Danio rerio: one gene and its partner. The protein of the gene in region 1 binds, or shares a complex with, the protein of each later gene. Links are inferred from orthologs where the notes say so. Each region holds a gene or a part of one and is shown on either strand. Other genes may lie near its edges.

Region 1 (11,464 bases):
GTCTTCAATGTTGATCTCTGTGCCCAGGGTGTTGTCGGTATTCCACTTCTCTGTGAAGGTCAGGCCATATTCAGACCTCTTGTATTTGGTTTCCAGGCTCCCAACCACTTTGCTGGTGTCAGTGTTGGAGGAACCAGAGGTCTTGAATTCCTATACAGACAGGAAAGGAACATATTTTAAGTTGGTGTAAGGTGTCACGCTTAATGACTTGATAACTAATTATTAAATAATTAAACAGAGGTCTAGGGTTTTGCAATGTGATGACTAAATATAACTAATTTAATAACAATAATTAATGATTTGTTAGTATAAGTAGATTCACAATATTTGTATTAACTTATTAACAAAATTGAGTCTCACCACTCCACTGGCTGATTTTGTCTTGACATCGAGCTTCACCATACCGAATCCTTAAAAAAAAAAATGAAAGAAATGCTTTGAACAAATACAGAAAACTAAAAAACATTTTTTTCCCAAGAGACATCATGAATTATTAAATACTTTACCATATCCTTTGTTAAAGATGTCTTTGGCAGATTTGCCAAGATCAGCATATGCTGGGGGAACGGCCATTTTATCTAATTAAAACAGAGTGTGCAAAGATCATTAGTGGGTCGGAAGAACACCATAACACTAAACACCTGTGCAAAAACCAAAAAAACAGTGTAAAAAAAAAAAAAAAAAAAAACTGTACGAAAGTTATTTTTCTGAACCAAGCAACAGTGGGATGTTTTGGGTGGTCTACAGTATGTCTAGCTTTCCATGGTTTATCACCATGTCCTATCAGTATGATAAATGACCCAGCCTGAAAGCAGCTGCTGCACTCAAGCTAATCTGAACTGACAGCAGGCCGCACCTAACTGAGTCACAGAGCAAGGAAGTGACGTCCCGATTCACTCCCACAGACACACACATTTAGACGTGTGCAAGTAAGCAGAAGAAGCAGTTGTGTGAATAGCAATGAGTGATCGTGGTGGAGGCTCACTGAACAACTAACAAAATCTGTGCGCTCTGAATAATAGTTTACAAATGTAGTGTGGCCCTGCCTTAGAGACAGTACCACCAAAAAAATATCACATTTCTCTATTTATTTATCCTCAAGTTGTAATACATGCACCTTTTGTTTTGTTTTTTTATCTGCTACACACAAATGAAGATATTTGAAGAAAGCTGAAACATTTTAACCATTAACATACATAGTCTAAAAAATGAAATATTTTCCTTTGTGTTCAAAAGAACAAAGAAACTCAGGGTGCTTTCACACCTACACTTTTGTTTCAGAACGTATCTCGATTGCCCAGTTAGCGCGGTTCGATTGGCATATGTGAACAGGGCAATCGTGCTCTGTTCCGCGCCAAAGTAATCGATTGAAACGAACCCTGGAGCGGTTCGATTGCAGTGAGAAAGCGATCCGATCCGAGTGCGGTTATATCACACTGTTTTATGAATATGTAATAGGCTTACGGCTATATGAAGAGAGAATTATGAGTAGGGCGGGAAGTTTCGCGAGTCTCCGGATGCCCGCAAACGAGTGATGATCTCCCGGTAATCTCGCGTCTCCCTCCCGGTCCTAGGCATCGTCGCGCACCCTTCTCACCCCTCCCCACCGCGTCTCTCCTCAGACACGTCGCGCGCGCGCACCCTGTCAGTCACCATCAAACCACCACCTCTCCTGACAGCGGAGCGGGACGCTGCAAAATAAACCCTGACACTCTGACCAATGTGAGGTGAGTTTACTCGCACGTGACTTGTTTTAGCTCTTTTGGTCCGATTAGAAACTTTGCAATGTGAAAGCAAACCGCTCCAAGAGCAAAGAGCAACAATGTAACAATTGTAATCTCTGTTTCGGAACAACTGAATCGATTCACAGGTGTGAAAGCACCCTCAGACAGGTTTGAAGCAAGTGAAGGAGGGAGTAAATAATGACAGATCTTTCATTCTTTGGTGAACTATCCCTTTAAGTCAATGTAAGAGCTTCATATTTTCACTGCTTGACCACAGTGACTGTAAAGCAGGGGTGGGAAAACTGGGTCCTGGAGGGTCAGTGTCCTGCATAGTTTAGCTCCAACTCTAATCACAGACACCTGCTTATAGATTTCTAATTATCTTGAAGACACTGATTAGCATGTTCAGGTGCGTTTGATTAATGTTGTAGCTAAACTATGCAGGACACCGGCCCTCCAGGACTGAGTTTGCCCACTCCTGCTGTAAAGTGTCATGGTTGAGTTTAAATGTATGCAGACGGATCAATTTTAAAGACCACTCATAATGCAGCATGCAAATAAATTAGTAATCACCATTCAGCACTTAGAAGTAATTTATGAACACGTCACCTGCTGTTAAAATGAATTGAGAACATTTTACTTTTTTAAAAGGTTGATGGCAGTGGGCTTTGTGCATTCATACTGGTGTAGAAAATGCACACTAACATTGCCCAAAACTTCAATAAAACTGCTAATAAATTCAAAATGTAAAAATAAAAAGTAGGGACTATAAATGTAGTTGTTTTAAACATTTATAAATTTCATCTGTTGAACAAATTTATATTGTGAAGAAGTTGAAAACATGCAACCAATGACATTCATAGTAGGAAAATCAAATACCACAGACGTTAATGGGTACAGGTTTTTGCTCCCTTTCTAAATATCTTCCTTTGTGTTCTTATGTTTGGAAGAAGTGAAGGGAGAGTAAATGGAAGTTTTACTATTTGGATGAATTATCTCTTTAACGATTCACTCTTCCCTGCAGTGTTGCAAACCAGCAGTTGTACCAGTTTGTGTTCTTTTAGTGCTGTGATGGAAAGAAGATTTATACATCCCCAATTTTCACATGACAATACAGCAGATATCCACTTCACAGGGTTAACTGCATGACCTTAAGTTTCTGGTCTCCAGCAATCTTCTGCTTAATGTCATGATACACGGGGCGACTTTCAGAGCAATGTTGCTGGGCAACTTTGGCAAATGATGCCATCACTGGGCAACCAGGTGAGACACAGGGCAAGTAAATGGAGCAATTGGATCCCGATACATTCATTCTCTTTTCGGCTTAGTCCCTCTATTAATCCAGGGTCGCCAAAGCGGAATGAACCGCCAACTTATCCAGCACGTGTTTTACGCAGCGGGATGCCCTTCCAGCTGCAACTCATCACTGGGAAACACCCATACTCTTCCATTCACACAAACTGAAGACAATTTTAGCTTACCCAGTTCACTTATAGCGCATCCATACACACTCATTCACACTCGTACACTACGGACAATTTAGCTTACCCAATTCACCTCTACCGCATGTCTTTGGACTGTGAGGGAAACTGGAGCACCTGGAGGAAACCCAAGCAAACGCAGGGAGAACATGCAAACTCCACACAGAAACGCCAACTGACCCAGCAACCTTCTTGCTGTGAGTTGACAGCACTACCTACTGTGCCAGTGCTTCGCCTGGATCCAGATACAATATTACCCATTTTCAATAAGTAGCGAAGCAACATCACTCCTAAATATTGCTCAACAACATTTCTCAAAGTCCAAATTTAAAATGAGTTCTCTCAAGTTGTTCCAACCCTGTTTGTGCCATTTTATTTCTAATGATAAACCCCAAAAGAAAATATTTTGAAGAATGTTGATAAACAGACAGGTGGAAATAAAAAAAATAAAACAATAAAAAAGCGAGAGAGATTTTGAATAGATCACTTGTTATAAATTATGCATTTACTTTTTTTTTTTTTTATCTTAAGTAAATGTGAGATTTACATTTTTGGAACAGTAAGTGGGAAAGATGCCCTTGCTTCTCTATTAAAAATGATGAACAGTAATCTCAGCTAATGCTGTAAAATATATAAAGATGCCCTATCAATTGCATATTACTAACTTCTTAAGTAACAGACAACAACAGAGTACCAACTATTGAATTTATTATTAGATATAATGTATAAATAAAAAAGACATTTATTTAAACATTAATTTTAGATATCCCCAACTCAAAATCAAAGACAATAAAATAGACAATATTACAGAAATAAAGCAAAAACATTCATACCAATCATATGCTCATGAAGGAGTATTGGTGTGTTTGACCGAGTCATGCAAGTTAAGTTTTGTTTTACAAGATTAATATTAATACAGTTCATTTACTATGAGCACTCACTTAAACCTTTCCTAAATTTAATAATTAAAAATAAAGATTTTTTTTTTATTTTAGTTTTTAGTGGTTTTAGTAAGGAATTAATGCAAGTAGAGAATGGCTGTTTGTAAAGCTTACAGCGTCATCTGCTGTTAAACTAAGTGCAAAATTTATACAAAGGTGAAAACAATGATTTATAAAATCTTGAAATCAGTTTCTCACCATAGCTGATAGCTCTAATAAATATTGAGAGAAATACCCTTCTTAAGAGACTGTTTCTCTAGTGAACTCAGAGCTGTGGACACTAAATGCCAGAGAGAAATTTCATGTCTAATGACATATAGTTTACATAAGTATTGACTTCTTTCTTCCACTGAAATACTGAGCTATTACAAGAGATATAATTAAATGTTCATGATTATTTTAGAATTTGCAACATGAGTTTGTGTCCTTAAAGGACTTCAAGGATAAGGTCAGGGTCCCCAATCCAAGTCAAATCTCAAATACCTTCACTTTGCCCTGGATTTACTGACTAAAAAGGATACCAGTAAAGTTGGTTTAATATTCGCACATTTGTCTTTTAGAAGTCTCTATATTGTTTACCTTGTTACTTTGAATATTCGATCGTAATTAGCATGCAAGAATTACTTAAAAACAACATTAACACTATGTAATTGACTCAACAATGTTGTACTTTGATAGTCATTGGCTGCCTTTATGATTTTCCTATTTAGAATTTGCAATGAATACTTTTCTGAAATTAAGTTAAGGAGAATGTTTGAATATCCAAATATAAAACCAACTTTACCTCTAAAAAATGCAAACAAATCATTAAAATAATAATAATAAATAAAACATTAGACCTCGTAATATCCCATATTTCAGAAATTTCATGACTCATGGGAACCCTATAAGATTGTTGTGCTAACTGTATGGAGTCCATCTAATATCTAGTTAAAGTTCTCTTTACACATCAGACAAAATTGTCTATATTGGGGTACACAACATGTTTTGGCTAAAAATCAAAAAATGTGTATTAGTAAATACATGTAATTACACCTTTTAGTCTCATCTCCAGGCTGGTTTAATGCAATCAATTATAAAAGAAACATCTAGCAATAAATTTTGAAAGAAAATAACTACAATACAAACCCAGGAAGACTGTAAATAATACAGATACAACCAATATTAGAATATATAGGAATACGCTAACATTTATTTTTCAAACAGAGTAAATAACTGATTCTAAATATAGCAAAATGCTTCACCTGTGACCTTTATCATATAGGTCATTGAGATTGAGGTAAAGTTGGTTTTAGATTTACATGTACAGCTTCAGAAAAGTATTACTTGAAAATCCTAAATAGAGAAAGACATATTAGCAGCAAATTACTCTTAACATTGTTCACAGTGAATTAAATGATGCTAATGTTGTTTTTAAGTCTTACTTGCATGCGATTTTAGAATATTGAAAATAGCATGGTTAACAGGGACCGTGTAACAAGTTGTCAGTTCAATAATGTACGGATGTGCTAATATAAAACCAACTTTACCTCAATGTCATTGAGTAACAGGAATGTCTGGTCCCACAGATTTGTCAGGCGCATACCATCCATCAGATCTTTCTTTTCAGGAAGTACAAAAATAATTACTTAAATACTCCTTGGCGCTTTAAACATGTAATAAAAAATATTATACTATACTATTAATTTGGCATAAATGCCTATTAAAATTGTGTAGGATTATTACCCTCTAATAATAAACTGAATTAATAGATGAGTTCAGGAACTGCTCTATTATAAAGGGCAAAGTAAGGGCAAGGCGAACTGCGGATTTACTACCCAATTTAACGCAGCCGCAGGAAAGCTTCTGAAGGCCACATGCAAGACTGGACCAGAGGGATGTACAACACTAACTGTAATTAAATCAAACAAAAAGTGAAGAAAAGGAGCTGCAAAATATGATGAGAGTGACTCAGGTCACGCATTTTTGGTGCTGCTCGGATGCAAGAGAAGTCAGCAGGAGCCGCACTGATCTGAATTAAAGCTACACTATAGATTAGACTGTAAAGCTGCTGAGCTGTGCTAATGTCACGCTATGACCGATCACAGGCTCATCTGTTTCTCTCCGGTCGTTACAGTAAGACAGACCGTGTGTGTGAGAGAGAGAGATATCGAGCAAGCTCAGCTAACGCGTGCTAATGCGCTAGCTAACACGAAGTAGAAAGCTTGCGAATTAACGTCTCCGACGCTTTCAATTCAGCCACATATGATTCCCGCTCCTCTCGGCGACTTACCTGTTAAAAGGAGTGGAGTGCGGTTATTGAAACGCGGCTGCTGAAGTTATTCCCAGCGCTGAGCCAATGTGGAGGGTCTGGCCAGTTGGAGGGCGAACTGAAGGAGACTGTAATGTAACACACCCGTGCCGACAGCCTCCCGCTCAAGGACCCCGGGCTGTCCTCACCTCTGCCTGACGGTAATTGCTAACGGCCAGGAACAGATGTGTGGCTTGCGCGGTATTGCGACATGCTACTGTACGTCAATTTAAGTCGCCAATATACTGCATGTCCTGTGACTCAGTTATTTTTTAGACAAGGGCTATTACATTGAATTTACATCATATAGTGTAAAAGGTACGCCATTGAAACATTAGTAAAAAGACTGTTTACTGGCTCGGTTCTATTAAATTATTTTTACTCATTTATGATATTTACTAATACACTATTAATATGTACTTTAATGGTAACTGAGGTAGTTAACTAATGGAACAATAATGAAAAGTGTTACAGTTTTGACAAAGCTCATGACTCAAACATTTGTAAATTAGTTGGCGTAGTAGCAGTAGTTGCCTACTGTAATTGTTATATTGTAGTTCAATAAAAGATGTTATTTCATTAACATAAGCAAAATTAACTTTAATTTTTTATCTGTACTTTTTGTTTATTCAGTTTAAGTTTCAGTTTCACATTTAGCTTTGATTTCTGTACGTTGACTACATCATGGTGTAAAAGGTACACCATCCATTTTCAAGTTTAATGGCTCAGTTCTATTCAATTATATTTACTAACACATTACTCATAAGTACTTTAATGATCACTGAAGTAGTAAACAAATGGAAGATATTGTAAAGTGTATTAGTTTTGACAAAACCTAAGACTCATAAACACTTGTAAATTATTAAAAGTAGCAGCAGTAGTTACCTTCTGTAATTTTTATATTGCAGTTAAATAAAAAGATGTTATTTTGTTAACTTAATGCAAAATAGCTTTTTAATTTGTATATTTACTATTTATTTAATTAGTTTAAATTTTAGTTTCACTATTAGCTTTGATTTTTGTATGTTGTTTTTACATCATATGGTGTAAAAGGTACACCATCCATTGAAACACTCTTGAAAGGCTGTTTACTGGCTCAATTTCACTAATACACTATAATATGTTCACTAATACATTATTCAAATTTACTTGAATGGTAACTGAAGTAGTTAAAAGGTATGCCATTGAAACACTCTTGAAAGGCTGTTAACTGCCTCAGTTGTATTAAATTATATTTACTAATACATTATTCACATGTACTTGAATGATAACTAAAGTAGTTGACTACTGGAACAATATTGTAAAGTGATGTAGTTTTCGCAAAACTCATGACTCAAACATTTGTAAATTAGTAATAGTAGTAGCAGTAGTCACCTACTGTTTATTGTCTATTGCTATAGTGCAGTTAAATAAAAACAGGCCCGTAGCCAGGGGGTGATGGGGTTCGGAAGACCCACCCCTCACTGACAAAGGTCCAGAATTTGTCCCACATGAGCTCATTTGTCCTCATGTGGGAGTTTGACTACTATGTTATCATAAATATTGAAATATCCCATAGAAAAAGGCATTGAGACCAAGCAGAATCCTCTGTTGGCTGTCTAATCCAAGTGGTGCTCGCTGCAGAGCCATTTGAGGAGAGGTGAGCTCCAGAGAGGGGGAGCTTAAGCTTGAGCTCCACCTTTTTTGCACTTCTTCTACGAGTGATGTCACTGGGGGTAGGGTTAGGGGTGGGGTTGGTGTACGCATTAAAACAGCTTACAGGAGGAGGAGCGACAGCTCATGCTCCCCCTCTCTGGAGCTCACCTCTCCTCAAATGGCTCTGCAGCGAGCACCCTCTCGTCTAATCAGCTAAGCTTTGGCCAATGCAAACAATTATTTTTCATGAGTCCAACATCCTATGCCAGAAAACACACAATCTGATGTAAGTGAAGTCATCTTTCGCTATGTATTGCTTAGAAATGGAGAAAAAATTTAGGACCTTATTCTTGAAACAAAATGACTGATAAAAAGGTGTGAAGCACCAAAAGCGGCCCAAATTAAAATGAATATGAATACTAATTTGGCTCTTGTTATCCATGAATTTTCAAATGTAGGCCTACAACAGAGGCAAAAATAGTGAAGCTCTACATTATTATTATTCGTTCATTCAATCATTTTCTTTTTGGCTTAGTCCCTTTATTAATCTGGGGTCACCACAGCAGAATGAACCGCCAACTTATCCAGCATATATGTTTTACGCAACGGATGCCCTTCCAGCTGCAACTCATCACTGGGAAACACCCATACTCTTCCATTCACACAAACTGAAGACAATTTTAGCTTACCCAGTTCACTTATAGCGCATCTTTAGTCTTTAAACTTGTGGGGTAAACCGGAGCACCCGGAAGAAACCTGCGCGAACATGCAAACTCCACACAGATATGCCATGTGACCCAGCCGAGGCTCGAACCAGCGACCTTTTTGTTGTGAGGCGAGAGCGCTACTCACTGCACCACCGTGTTGCCATATTATTAATATTATCATTATTATTATCATCATCATCATTATTATTATTGTTTACATTTTTTTTTTCAAATGGCCAAATTGTGACTGAGGAAAGTTGAATGTGCTGGCTAGTTTGTTATTTGCCTAATAAATGAGCTACAGTTTTTAATTAAAAACTTTAACAGATTTTTGTTTTATAATAAAATAATAAAATTGTATTTTAAAAATAAGTATTTATTCATATTTCTTTATTCTAAATCTTTAGGAAAAAATGTTGGCGTATCAAAAAGTGTGGTGCAAATCCAGCTGAAAATAGTGCTTAAAATGTCACTAAAATGCAGTTATAAAATGCTCAGCATATATAGGTATCACAGATCTTTCTTTTAAATTCATTATTTGTAATGGCATTTGGCCACTAGGTGTCAGTACGCTACTTTATAACTGCGACTGCACTGCATTGAGCAAGAGGTTGGTAGGATGCGCACAGTTTTTGATCGTAACTAATCGTAACGTGCTACACAAGAAGCGTGCAATTGCAACGCCGCTACAAAACGTGAAAAACTGCACTTCGTGGGACGATTGAGACATTGTTGGAGTGGACAGCAAGGCATGGTGTTTGGGCGGACAATGACGACGAAGTTCGTTTGGTTCAAGACTCGTTGGTGCATGTGAGAACAGCTTTTCATCAGCACCTAAATGAGTTTGCTTGGATCGGCTTTCTTCTCTTTGGGTCTGATAAACAGCCAGGTACGTTTGTTGCAGCATCATCATCATAATGGCCATATGGAAATTATGTGTGCACATTTAGGCATGGGACGATAACCGTTTTCAAGGTATACCACGGTTTTGAATAGTAAAGGTATTAAAATCGCCAAAAATGTTCTTACGTTACTACCATTCCTAAGGTGTGTAACATTTTTTTTATTTACATTTTTTTTTTTTAGAAAAATAGTAACGCTATCTCCAGCCGAATATTTTGAAACAAATAAAGACAAAAGTCAATGATTCATTAGAATTATTTAGCCTGACATGTTTACTGCTCCAAAAATATTTAAAATGTTTCTCAAAATAAAATATATTGTGTTCAGAAGGGGAATAACGTTAGAATTCGTTTTTTACTCAGACACTAAGACGAACATATTTTAGAGCAGCACAATACTGTAAAACCGTTATTTTTTTTTTTCCTCAAGATTTCATACTGTCAGAATCAAATGAACAGCTAAAGCTTTAGTTGTAAAACTTGACACTTTACAGAAGTTAAGAAAATCATCAAAGCACAAAAACTGACAGTCAATTAACAAGTTAATGCATGATGACAATAACCGCTTTTTCACTATCGCGCCTAAAGTGAGCGAGCGAGCCAGGGCCAGTCACGTTTCCACTGTCACATCTGGGGCCTAATGGGGCCAAAGCGAGGCTTCTGTGGGGCAGCCTTTTTTGCCCGCAGAATACCTTGGGCAAAAGAGGGTCAGCTGTGGCTTCAGGGCGGAGTGACAGGAGAGGCGGAGTTTGCAGAGTCTGGTAAAGATGGCGTGCCGCATTACACTACATGTTGCATAAAATAAGTGATATTTCTCTGCTGCGTCCTCCTTGATGTTTCAATAACACATAATAATCTTCACACCATATTAAAGACACAGCACAGCAGCCTGTAACCTTCAGCTGTCGAGAGTTTTTGTCAAGTTTAAATGGTGGGTTTGTGCATGAAACGTGCATGGATTTGGATATTCTCTAAAAACAATACACAACAGAGTTTTTAATAATAATTTATTTATTATTTGAATACAATGATATTAATCAAATCTTGCAAACAGCATTTTTTGGGTGAGTATAACCATCAGAAACGACCTTCTTTTCTGTCATCCAGTCCTGCGCAGTGCTGCTTTATTAACGGATTGGGAAAAACTGCATGTAAAAAATGTGTTTCATGTCCTCAAACAAATGTTTATGTTTTCATATGATGCGTTGTAAAATTTTAGAACTTTATTAGTGGATAGCTGCTGAGCACAACGATATATAGCCTATATTTTATTGTTTGGTCCTGGAACGCTTAACTGGTTTATTTACTTAACTCAACATCCTTCATTTATTCTCTTAAATAAAGAGATTACCTATTAAGTGTTATATAGCCTAGGTAAAAAATGTATATTTTTTAGGTCTCTCCGCCACTTTTGGGGTGAATGTTTGACGGCGTCTATCAAAACAAGGATGTTATAAAATTTCTATGGTTTTATATAATGGATGTTGCGCTGGGTCCTTCAGTTTGTGGTGAGACCACTTGATGCATGACGCCAATGTCGGTTGGCCATTAAACAAATATAATGAATGAAAATACGTAGGCCTATGCGTATAGACAATGTAATGCTGTACAGTACCGTGTCATTTGTTTGTTTCGGTTGTCTTTATTTTAATCGTTTTCTGATGATGCGAAGATGTGCTTCATCTGTCTGCCTGATTCCCACTGAACTAGGCGGGTTGTGTGACGTTTGATTCGGGGGATGTTCTGGGGGTGGGGTTTGCGTGATGTGCTGTTAGCTACCAGCC
Region 2 (11,464 bases), on another chromosome or scaffold:
CATGATTTTCGAAAGCATTAAATCGCTTTGTAAACATTTATTATTACCATTTTATGAGTCTCCCCATTCAGTTGAATAGAGCACTTGGACCCGGAAGCCGCTTCGCGCGACGTCACACTTAACAAGTGGATAGAATCACCAAGAGGTGACATTTTAGTGCGATTTTGGGAAACAGCCACAAGATGCCGCTAGTGTCACACGGTGGCCATTTTGGAATGAAAATTCCAGTAGAACAACAGCATATTGTAAGTCTGTAAAATAAACTATTTAAAGTGCTGATGATTGTGAGAGTAAGTGTTGTATTGTCGTCTTTCAGGTTGTATATCAACTTTAATGTGCTTTTTAAATAAATAAATAAAAAAAACAAAGCAGCTGCTTGCCATCGCGACAGCAATAAGATTCAATGGACGGCTGATCGCTTTTACTTTAAAATGGCGGAATCGCGCGGCCGTTGCTGGGCACTGCTGTTGCACTCCAGTGTCCCAATATCTGTATTTACACTCACTCAGTAAACAGTGGTGAGTTTGGTGATGACCTTCACGGCCAATCACTGACATTTCTGTTGAGCATGTGAACATAAATGACAAATCAGTGCTGTTTCAGATCGCGCTCAACAGCGTTTAAATGGCAACAGGAAATAGACATTTTTAAAATTCCAGTATCGATTGGTACCGAATTGTTCCTTTGCTAAGCCACACCTGAAAACTGCCACACACCAACCATAGCTACATGCAGGAGGTCTGTCAAGCTTTTGAATAAAGGAAACAAGCCAAAGCGTTGTGCATATGGATTGTGCAAATCTGATACCCAGTATCTTTAAAATTTGAACAGAGTTTCAGAATTTTTTTCCCTTTCCAAAGTCTAAAACCCAAAGGGAAAAATGCCAGCTTGGATCAAGCTGTGTGAGGGGTCGTAAAAGAAGCACAATTCAGTCATATTTCCATCTGTTTCAAGCTATGAATATTAGGATTACAAATCAACAAAACTAAACAGAGATATGGTCACAATTAGCACTTGCAATCAATATACTTCACCTGTTTCTCAGTCATTTATAATCTCCATGTCTATGTCAAAGCTACAATTCACTGATGTTTTCGTCCGTCTTTTGGTCATTGGTGACGGTGTTAAAGCGGGTTAGTGTCTGCTTTTCTATTTGATGTTGGATTAATATTTGCTGGTAGGGAAAATCTATTTGTTCACTTGTGCTATTTATACTTTGATTTGCATTTCAATTTATTTATTTCCACTTAACTGCAAATTAGAATAGAAACGGTATAAAAAGCACACAAACATGCTGACAGTTATAGCTACTGTACATTGTTATGGGTAAATGATGCTAACATTTGGCTCAAATCCATCAATTTCCCCTTTCTGGCCTTTTCTTTCTATGAATGAATTGTGTAGAAGCACTGCCCATGCGTGTTTCCTCGCCGGTTAGTAACGCTATATTTCATTGCACAACAGTAGTCCATCATGCTTTTAGTTTTTATCTAAAAAAAAAAAAATAAATTCAGGGTTTGATTAGTTATAAGATTATTTTTAAATTTGACCCTTTCTGCTGTGTATGAACTAAGCTGTTGAATGGTCAGCGTTTTAGGCGGCTAGGCTAACCTAGCTTCAATTTTGATTTTCTAATTTTCTAACCAGTTGCATTTTATGCTGTGAATTTACCCCTGTAGGGCATACTGCAGTCCTTTTTTGTCTGGCTTTCTCGGATATCTCACCTGTTCGCCAAAATGACTAATTAGGTCCCTGGGAACATATACCGGCGTTTACATATTATAATAGATGGCCAGGCACGAAAGCTTGACAGGCATAACAACAGTAAAGCTATGGTCACAGTAGAGTTTGTGTGTGCGAAATTCTGTCGTGCGGTGCTGCGAAAAGGGGCGGGAATAAACAAGATTATTAAGCATTAAAAAAAGCGAGCGATTGCTCTATAATTTAAATTTCTGTCCAGAGAGGCAATGTTTTGATCCTCGGTTGGTCTCACGCAGTCAAATGATGCGATTTCGCAGGTCAGAATTCACCAAGCTTGAACTTTGCACCGCAGCAACCTGCGAAACTCGACGCATGACCCTGCGTTTCCAGAATTGCAGGGTCGCAGGGTCATGCGTCAAGTTTCGAGCTTGGTGAACTCTGACCTGCGAAATCCCATCATTTGATTGCGTGAGACCAATCGAGGATCAAAACATGAACTCTCTGGACAGAAATTTAAATTATAGAGCAATCGCTCACTTTTTTAATGCCTAATAATCTTGTCTAATCCTGCCCCTTTTCGCAGCGCCGCACGACAATATCGGACACACAAACTCGTGTGACCGTAGCTTCACTCAGTGGAAAGGGTCATAAGGATAACGGGGCTTAGCGAAGGGTCAATTTCAGTATCGTGACAACCCTAGACTGCATAAATACATTTACTGTGGTCTGAGAGCTGAGCTGCTTATTTTTATTTTCTCAAACATATCAAGGTAAGTGCACAAAAGTCTCTCTCAAACGCATTATTCTCCATATAACCATATCATTTTACACCAGAAACAAAGCTATTTTTTTTGCACTGCAACTGATGATCAACAGTAAAAATGTAAAATTGTACCTCTTCCCAACAGGGAAAACCAGCAACAATCAAGAATGCATGATTATATGGTGTCATGACTTTGTAATAATAAAAAAACTTTAAATGGAAGACAATGGGGCAAAAACAGCCACGAACATAACGAAAGGGTAGTACATTTCCCAGTGTTTCAGAGTTTCAATTTTCAAAGCATTTTCCCAAAATATGTCTCATAATGAGAGTAGTCACCAAAAAAAACTCCATTTGCTGAAACACAGAGAAAGCTGTGGCCCAATTAAGACGCAAAATCATCCCAGAGTGGACGAAAACATCCCCAACAGCACACAAGGGTTATATCTCACTTCTACATTGTAAATGCACCTCAGAGAAGCGATCTGTCTTCAGTCTTTACCATTGAAAACCTTGATGTTATTTTGTCTTGCAGTGGTTCTTCCTCACATCGGCAGTGCCACTTACTCTACCCGCGGTGTTATGAGTGAACTGACGGCAAACAACTTACTGGCAGGCCTGACGGGCTCTGAAATGCCCAGCGAGCTGAAAATGTAGCAATCTAACTCGTGCCTTACACTGACAGAAAACCAGTCTAACCTAACAACTGAATGCACTACATTTACCATGAGATTAGATGGGATAAAACATGTATTAGATTAGGTTTATTGGATAACCTCATTCCAACACAATGATTTAATACACTCATTTGCTCTAACTGTGAAATTCGAGATTCATTCAACACTCAACTGTCCTTATACACTCCATGATGCTGATTAAAGATGCTGAAGAATGAATGATACAGAACAATAAAGGATTTACTGAAAAGTCTGTATTTGGTAGTTGAGTCATGAATACAATGAAAACAAAGAAAGGTACAATTTCTGCAGTGCATTAACAGAGTGTATAGTATCCTCGAGACACATGATTTTGGAAATACTACTGTCAATATAAATGGCTGAAAGGATTTATTGCTTGGGTCACTGTGAACTTAAAATTCTTGTAGACATCACCTGTTTTTAATGGAGTTTGGATGAGGACAAATCACCCAGGGAAATAAAAAAATTTAATTAGCGACTACACAAATTGACCACATCTCTTTGTGGACTGCCGATGTAATCGATTCTGTGCAGCATCGTCCCAGTCCCGCATGCTCTTCTGTACAGGGAATGTTTTCGCCCATGGGTGAAGCTTCATATGCTGTCCAGCTTCTTCAAAACATAGGGTGCTGAAATAAAAGGAATTTATTTAGTAATTAAAAGCAAGTGGGCTTCAAAAATGTGTCATGAATGATATTTAAAGCTGGTACAAAAAATATGAATACATGTATGTTAATATGCTATTACAACAAGATTAATACCTCAAGGTAAAGGTGATTTTATATTCGCACATTCCTTCATTTGTGAACAGTGACAATTTCTCACTGTTCTTTTAAATATTGGGTCTGAAATAGATTTTTAAAACAACATAAGAATTATCTAATTGACTGAGTAATGCTATGCATTTGAACATAAAACCGATGTTCACCTCTTTCATTTAATTTTGAGTGTATTAGGGCCTACTCACACTATGCCATCCGTACCGTGCCCAGGCCCGTTTCCCGGATCGTTTGAGAAGTGTGAGTGCGCTGAATCGAGCTCAAGCACGGTTCACTTGGCCGGCCCTGGCCCGGTTGGAAGAGGTGTGCCTGAGCGCGGTTCACTTGGGCTTTTGCGCGGTACACTTGTGGTGTGAGTGCAAAGCCCGAAACTGAAAGCGAGACGTGACTTTTAAGGGGCTGTTTCATATGGGTTTATTAATCATTCTTACTGTTCAGTGAACGCAAACTGCCGTAGTTTATGAAATACGCAAACCCCTCACTGCATGACAGCTGCGCACCTTCAGCAGACCTCCTCATTCCTGCAGCACGAGGGCTTTATGATTGTTTATGAGTGCTAAAAGTGGTGGATCTGTTCGGCGAAATATCTGACTGCGTGTCACCACATCCCTAAGGACTGTTCGGCTAAATATTTGACTGCATGTCACTGCATAACAAACGACTGAAACGATATAACTAGAGAAATCTCCACTGTGCTGCTGAGTGAGAGAGCGCTTCTCACTGAACAGCGCAGCAGGGATGACGCAAGCGTGCCGAGGCCCGATTGTGGTGTGAGTGCGGGCTGTCGAGGGAGACGGGAGGGGGGACAAGCGTGCTTTGGCCCAGTTCGAGACAACTGTACATAGTGTGAGTACGGCCTTAATCAACCATGTTACACCTGTGGTGTTTCCGGTCAAAAGTGACTGCCATAGGAAATGAATGGGTATCCAGACTATTTATCCATCAGAAAGAAAACATCTCCATAAACATTATTCCAAGTCACTGACTGACACATTTCAGACCGAATGCCTTTTGCAGATAAGCATCTCTATTCTGTGTCGATCCTCCAGCCTGGTCTCATAAGGAAATGTAACTATTTTACATTTGTCAGTTTAGTGTCCAATTCGTACATACAGCAGCTGATAGGTCCACTGTATAGTAATGAAGAGGAAAGATGTAAGCCTTATGTCACAACTTACGCAACACAAGTACTTATTAATCAAAAACTTCTAATGCAGTTTTTACAATGAGAATTGAAAAGTTCAATAGAAAAAAATATTTCTGATAAATTCTGCTAAAAAAAAACTAACACCATTTTAAAATATTAAGAGGTTGAATAATCATTGTACAGAGATAAGGGCATCTTACTGGCCACATTTTCTAACAAACATTGTGTACTTTACCATGTCAGTTTAATGGTGAAGGGATTGATCCAATAGGTCTATTAATGGAAGATTTGTATAAAAAAAAAAAAATTTTAATGCTTTTTTTTTTAAAAAATACAAAATACTGTATTTTATTTTGATACACGTTATGACTGCTTTATTCTGTAGCTTATTTTCATCCACATATTTAGGTATTCTATTTTAAAATATATTTCTTTATTTCTTTCTCTTGAAAGAAAGAAAGAAAGAAAGAATCTTGTGTCTTTTTACTTTCTTTCAGCCAATCTCTTGGTCAAGTAGGAGCACTTTTACCTTAGCGTCAATTATTTTATTGGATTAGATCATAACCATCTCGCTCAAAAATGACCAAAGTATAACTTACTGTATATACCCTCATTCACTATTCCCTACATTAGTACACTAATGTAATCCAACTGAAGGACTGAATGAAAATTCCAGCACTCTGCACACAGGAAAGGATATTGTTTTGTTTGTACTTTGCCGGTTGATAAATCATTCAGATGGATTAAAGAGTCAATTTTTTTGGTCAGACCCTGTGATAGTGATTTTAGCGAGCTGTCTATTGGTAATGAAACAAAGTTTTTCGATTTCGGTCATCTATTGTTCATTTTGTAATACATATTTAGTGCCTACTTGTATTTACCACAGTTATTGTATGTCTATTGTATGTCTATATAAATTCATGTTAAACACTACTTTAAGACATTGTTCATAGCTAAAGAATCTTGAGTAAAAATTAAGAAGGTTAAGAAAGTCAAAATGTGCTAATGTAAAACCATATTTATCTTAATGTGTCATTCAACGATTTAAAAGGTGTGGCACACTTGCATATTTAATCAAAATGAGGTAAACAGTAAAAATATGCTAATTATACAATACCATTCAAATCTTTGACATTTTAATTCTTTCATTAACGAGAAGTGATACATCACGGCTACTAAAATATGTCTGTTCTTGAAAAGAAATGTTCTTTAGGCTCAAATATACGTAATAACTATACAGATTTTGAATTCATTATGAGTGCTAGAGGTGACCTCTGTCATTCATCATCTACATATAGACCAAATTCATCCATTTATGTTGAAAAGACATATTACTCATGATTTAACGCGGTCCCAAGACAAACTCTATGAATATAAATGACAATCAAAATTTAAAGACGACACACGTGACATTTAATCTAACCCAAGACATGCATGAAGCGTCTGGAATACTCACTGACTCGCAGAAGCGCAACGTAAATCAAAAAGTTGCGAACAGACGTAATGACATCTTCACGCATTTTCTTCTTCATCTCCTCCGGGTCCATTTTCGGCCCGAGTCCCTCTAGTTTAAACATTTTTCAGCTTGAATGAAGGGTTTTTTGTGGTTGAAATGATCTCTTCAAGCCACTCTCTGTCCTAAAGGCATGCGAAAAGGGAAATACGTCACATCGGAGCTGCCTCTAGGACCCCCGCTTTTTCCCTACTAAGTTGTGCCTGATATTAAATCGGGTATTCTTACGATCAGTTTGTTATTAACAACAACGCATTATTTTCATAATAACATATTATAACATGGCAATGCGTTAAATATAAACTTCTTTCACACATTGTATGAAAATTGTTAATAATAGTGTTATTTTAATCAGGCAATATCAAAAAGAGCACATCTAGTCACGGCTCATTGTTTTGGTTTTGTTGCGCGCTTGTTGTGAATCTCTTGTCGCTGTGTAACAAGACAGCAAAACTGAAGACTTTATAACGCGCTGGTTTTATTTCCTTAAGACATATTTTATCACAGATATTGTGGCATCCATTTTTAAATGTTCAAATATCGTTGTAGCTGCACGTAATATACATTTGATTTACACACAAGTCCATTGAGTACTGAATGAATGATGGACCCCAGTGGACTTATGTCCAGTAACGCTTGTCTGAAATGGGTTCATGGATTCAGTGAAACGTCGCCGACGTGTTTACCCAGTAAACGTAAACGAAATGATGCCAGTACACTAAATGGCAATGAAGGAGACGCTGCTAATGGTTTTCCCTCCAAAGAAAACTTGAGGAAACGTAGGTATTGCTCTCTCAGCTGAGCTTTTGAACGGGTCATTACTTTTAGATGTTTTTTTTTTAGTTTGGTTTTGAGTTTAAGCTTTATATTTAAATATTTAACCAGTAAAGACATACTAACATCTATATCTAGCCATACTCCGAAGCTAAAATCTTTAACATAAACACTAATATTAATCATTTCTTTGGCTTGTAATTGTGAAGAATTTGCAAAGCATATAGTCAGGGCTGCACATCTGACATTTTGATACTTTGTTTTGCTGCAATATACCTTGGCGATATGCATATAAATTCACCAGATGATTTGAATAGGTCTATTTAAAAATATTTATTTTTCTATGCAGTGGATCTGCATAAAATATTATAAATTAAAAGAAAAAATAAACAGTGCTTTATGGTTTTCAGGGCTATCTAATAATCAAACGTAAAATAACATGTTCATCATTGAATAAATAACTTTAAAAATAACAACATTGAAGCACTCTTGCCTCACAGCAAAAAGGTTGCTGGGTCAGTTGGCATTTCTGTGTAGAGTTTGCATGTTCTCCCCCTGTTGGCGTGGGTTTCCTCTGGGTGCTCCGGTTTCCCCCACAAGTCCAAATACATGTGGTGCAGGTCTATGTGTGTGAATGAGAGTGTATGGATGTTTCCCAGTGAAGGGTTGCAGCTGAAAGAGCATTCCGCTGCGTTAAACATATGCTGGATAAGTCGGTGGTTCATTCTGCTGTGGCGTCCCAGATTAATAAAGGGACTTAGCTGAAAAGAAAATGAATGAATGAATAATAATATTTAATAGTAGTATATTCTATTGCAGATCTACACATTGAGATATCGATGTTCAAACATTAAATTGTTTAGCCTTACATATAGGCCTATATGTTTGTTTATAAACAGATTCAGTTGAAGGCAAAATTATTACCAGCCCTCCTATGAAAAATTAATTAATTTTCAAATATTTACCGAGTGCTGTTTTACGTAAAGATTTTTTTCAATGTATTTTTAAAAACTAATTTTTTAAAACGAATTCCTTTGGTCTTTGTCATGATAACAGTACAGCATATTGCACCATTTTGTTTAATATCCTACTTGTATTCGGTGCAAAGTGCAATTTTTATGGCTTAACTAAGTTATTGGCAAGTCATTGGTCAACGCACGTCAAGATTTTGCCAAGTACAATGCAATCCTGGATTAACATCTTGATCCTGGAACATAATTATTGTTTGAAAATGTAATATATACCTATTCCCTACACCCCAAAACCCAACCAATACTGTAAATTATTCCCAAAATCAGAGGGAATAGTTGGATAACAATCATTTAAAAATGCATAAACCAAACCATAAGCTTAAACTTAGCATAAACTGTAAACATATCTCTTAATTCTGATTAGAAATGTTGTTCCAGGATCAACAAAGAGCAGGGGTGGCCAACCCTGTTCCTGCAGTCACCTTCCTGCAGATTTCAGTTGCTACCCATATCAAATACACCTGAACCAATTAATTAGGACATGAAATCTGCAGGAAGGTGGCTCTCCAGGAACGGGGTTGGCCACCCCTGACATAGATGATAATCCAGAAACACGTCCTACTTGATGAAATCCAGTTGGCGTTGGTCAACAGTGGGTTGTTCTGTAGCCATCGGAAAAGAAAATCCTTTAAGGGGGCTAATGATATTGACCTCAGCAGTTTTACATTATTTCAATATTTATTTTTTTCTAGCCATCTAAAAGAAATAAGTCTCCAGATGTAAAATATAATAGGAAAATACTATACAAATGATTGCTCCGTTAAAAATTCACCAGTTAAATAATTGAAAAAGAGTTAAAATTGCTATTATTTCTCTCACCTTTAGGTGGTTTTGTCTTGATTGATGGCCAGAGAGGTGTGTATCAGTCGGAGAGCTGGCAGCCCAACGGCAGCACTCTATACCTGCCTGTGAATGGCACTTTATTGGCCAACATCGAAAAATATGATCAGATCAGCTTCGAGCAGGGCTGCTTCTGCATCGGCAATGCAGCAGGCGGATTTCAACAGAAAGTCCAGGGTAAGCCCCTTATTAGTTTATTTCCATAACATGAGTGATATATTTTCATAAGTAGTAGCTCTAGTGGGTGAATTTTCCACTAATATGTATACACGCTCTTTTTTGTTGTTGTTGTTTTTAGGTCAAACCATCCACTGCTGGCGATATAGTGAGCGTGAGCGAAAGCTTTTCATTGCACTGTCGTACCTGTTTACAAACTTAGAAGTGAGTTCATTGTTAAATACTACAGTAAATATTTCCTCCATTTTAGTGTGATTTGTGCCTTCATAACAATAAACTGTCTTTTATTCCCCATGTTTTTGTAGGTGTTTCAGGAAGTTGTCAGCACTCTTGATTGTCTCTGACGATACAGAGTTGCCTAAAAAGCTCAAACCTATCTTGTTGCTGTTTAGTACAGCCTGTATATTGAATACTGTATTACATATCATGACATACAGTATGTGCCTTTTCAACACATCAGTGCTGTTACAGACTGACATGTTCTGTGGACAATGAAAGATATCTGCCATGATATTATAAAGTGTAGTTAGTTAATCCACAGTGTTATATTTCTTTAATGAGGCTACTGATTTGTTTTGCCTCTCAGCCTCAGTTATCCAACACTGAATCAAAACATAACATTAAAAAACTGTATTCTACTTATAAAATGTAAAGCTTGTTGCTGATTTTATATGACATATTTGTACTGTATATCATTTACAATAAGGTTTCATTGGCTTAAAGGATAGTTCACCGTATTAATAAAATTTAATTAGCCGTTACATACACAATGTAGGTGACGTTTTCTTCAGTATTAAAGATATTTGTAGCTGAATCTGTGGTCAACATATGCAAGTCAGCAGCTAACACTTTGAGAGGCAAAACAGTATAGAGGCAAAACAAAACCTGACAGTAGCCCCTTTCACACAGTGATACCGGTAAATATCCGGAAAATTTCCGGAACGACTTTACCGGTATATTCAAAAAAGCGCTGTTCACACAGGCGAGGACGTTACGGAAATTTTCCGGAAAAGAGCATTCACACATCCATTCCAAAATACCGGTAAATTCTGACATCATTCACCACAAATGAGCTTTAAACGGCTGCGCTTGTATTTGTAAACATTTGACTAAATTACAAACTCTGTGGATGATCAATATTGTAAACAACTTTCACTGGATCATATTCGCATGTCGAGATGTTCATAATATGTGCGTGTGCTGACGCTCACAGGCTGTTTCATGGGCACACGCAAAGCTTGAAGGTAAACAAACAACGGCTTATCATAAGCATCTTATCGATGATTATTTGCACAGTTGGCATTAAGAAGAACATATAAACGTTATCTGACTAACTTCTAGCAGCTAAATGTGTCTGGAAAAATATTCAAAGGCTTTTATTCTCACAAACCGCGCGGACGTAAATGCGTCTGACTGTTGTGATTGGCTAAAGCAGACGTCTCACGTCAGCACGTTCTAGACATGCACGAGCTTATTCCGGAAATCTTCCTTCTGCGTTCACACAGCGCAGCATTCCGGCAAATTGCCGGTAATGTTACAACTTCTCTTTCCGGAAAATAGCCAGAACGAATTTACCGGTATTTTCAAAAAGGACCTGTTCACACATACAACCTTTCCGGAAAATTGCCGGTAATTTTCCGGAAAGGTCTGTATGTGTGAAAGGGGCTATTGTTTCAATTATTTACCACAGTGTAATCTCAGTGTATCATCAGGAGCCACGCACACACACAAACTCACTTTCAAATGTTTGGGTGAACTAACCCTTACACATCAGTTAATTAGTTAACTAATGATAAACAATCCACATTCAGCATTAATTAATATTGGATAATATACATTTTTAAATGTGATCATCTGCATAACTAAGAAATCTTGAAATAAATGCACACAGCAAACAGTTTGTTAATAAACTAAAATAATGCCTTGTTCAGTTATTGATTAATTGAATGAAACCTTATTGTAAAGTTTACCAGTGTTTGTAATGCTAAATTGCTAGTCTTGTATGTTACTGCTTCATACTTGTTTTATATATTTCTTTTTT

The links. The genes of interacting proteins can lie anywhere in the genome.
Region 2: the proteins of vdac2 (region 1) and tomm5 are in contact, whole or in part, in a cryo-EM structure (PDB 9EII), measured with the Homo sapiens proteins. The link is inferred for Danio rerio from reciprocal best matches to the Homo sapiens genes VDAC2 and TOMM5. Residues at the interface, in NP_001171752.1 of Homo sapiens: Val38, Thr60, Gly63, Asp239, Tyr258, Gln260, Thr261, Leu262, Leu268, Leu270, Val286, Leu288; in NP_001001790.1 of Homo sapiens: Ile25, Arg29, Leu32, Ile33, Ala36, Arg39, Val40, Phe43, Ile44, Lys47.

Annotation. Positions count from the first base shown.
Region 1 is NC_133188.1:19,708,284-19,719,747, forward strand, and holds the start of vdac2 (voltage-dependent anion-selective channel protein 2), read right to left. Parts: upstream 6,631-11,464; 5' UTR 6,419-6,630; intron 579-6,418; 5' UTR 574-578; coding exon 507-573; intron 411-506; coding exon 361-410; intron 151-360; coding exon 1-150. UniProt on the Homo sapiens protein: Non-selective voltage-gated ion channel that mediates the transport of anions and cations through the mitochondrion outer membrane and plasma membrane.
Region 2 is NC_133189.1:49,378,939-49,390,402, reverse strand, and holds tomm5 (mitochondrial import receptor subunit TOM5 homolog), read right to left. Parts: upstream 6,780-11,464; 5' UTR 6,666-6,779; coding exon 6,545-6,665; intron 3,792-6,544; coding exon 3,757-3,791; 3' UTR 3,378-3,756; downstream 1-3,377. Other genes in the region: si:dkey-109l4.3 (uncharacterized protein LOC559137), read left to right, coding at 7,203-7,380, 9,232-9,423, 9,545-9,627, 9,729-9,767.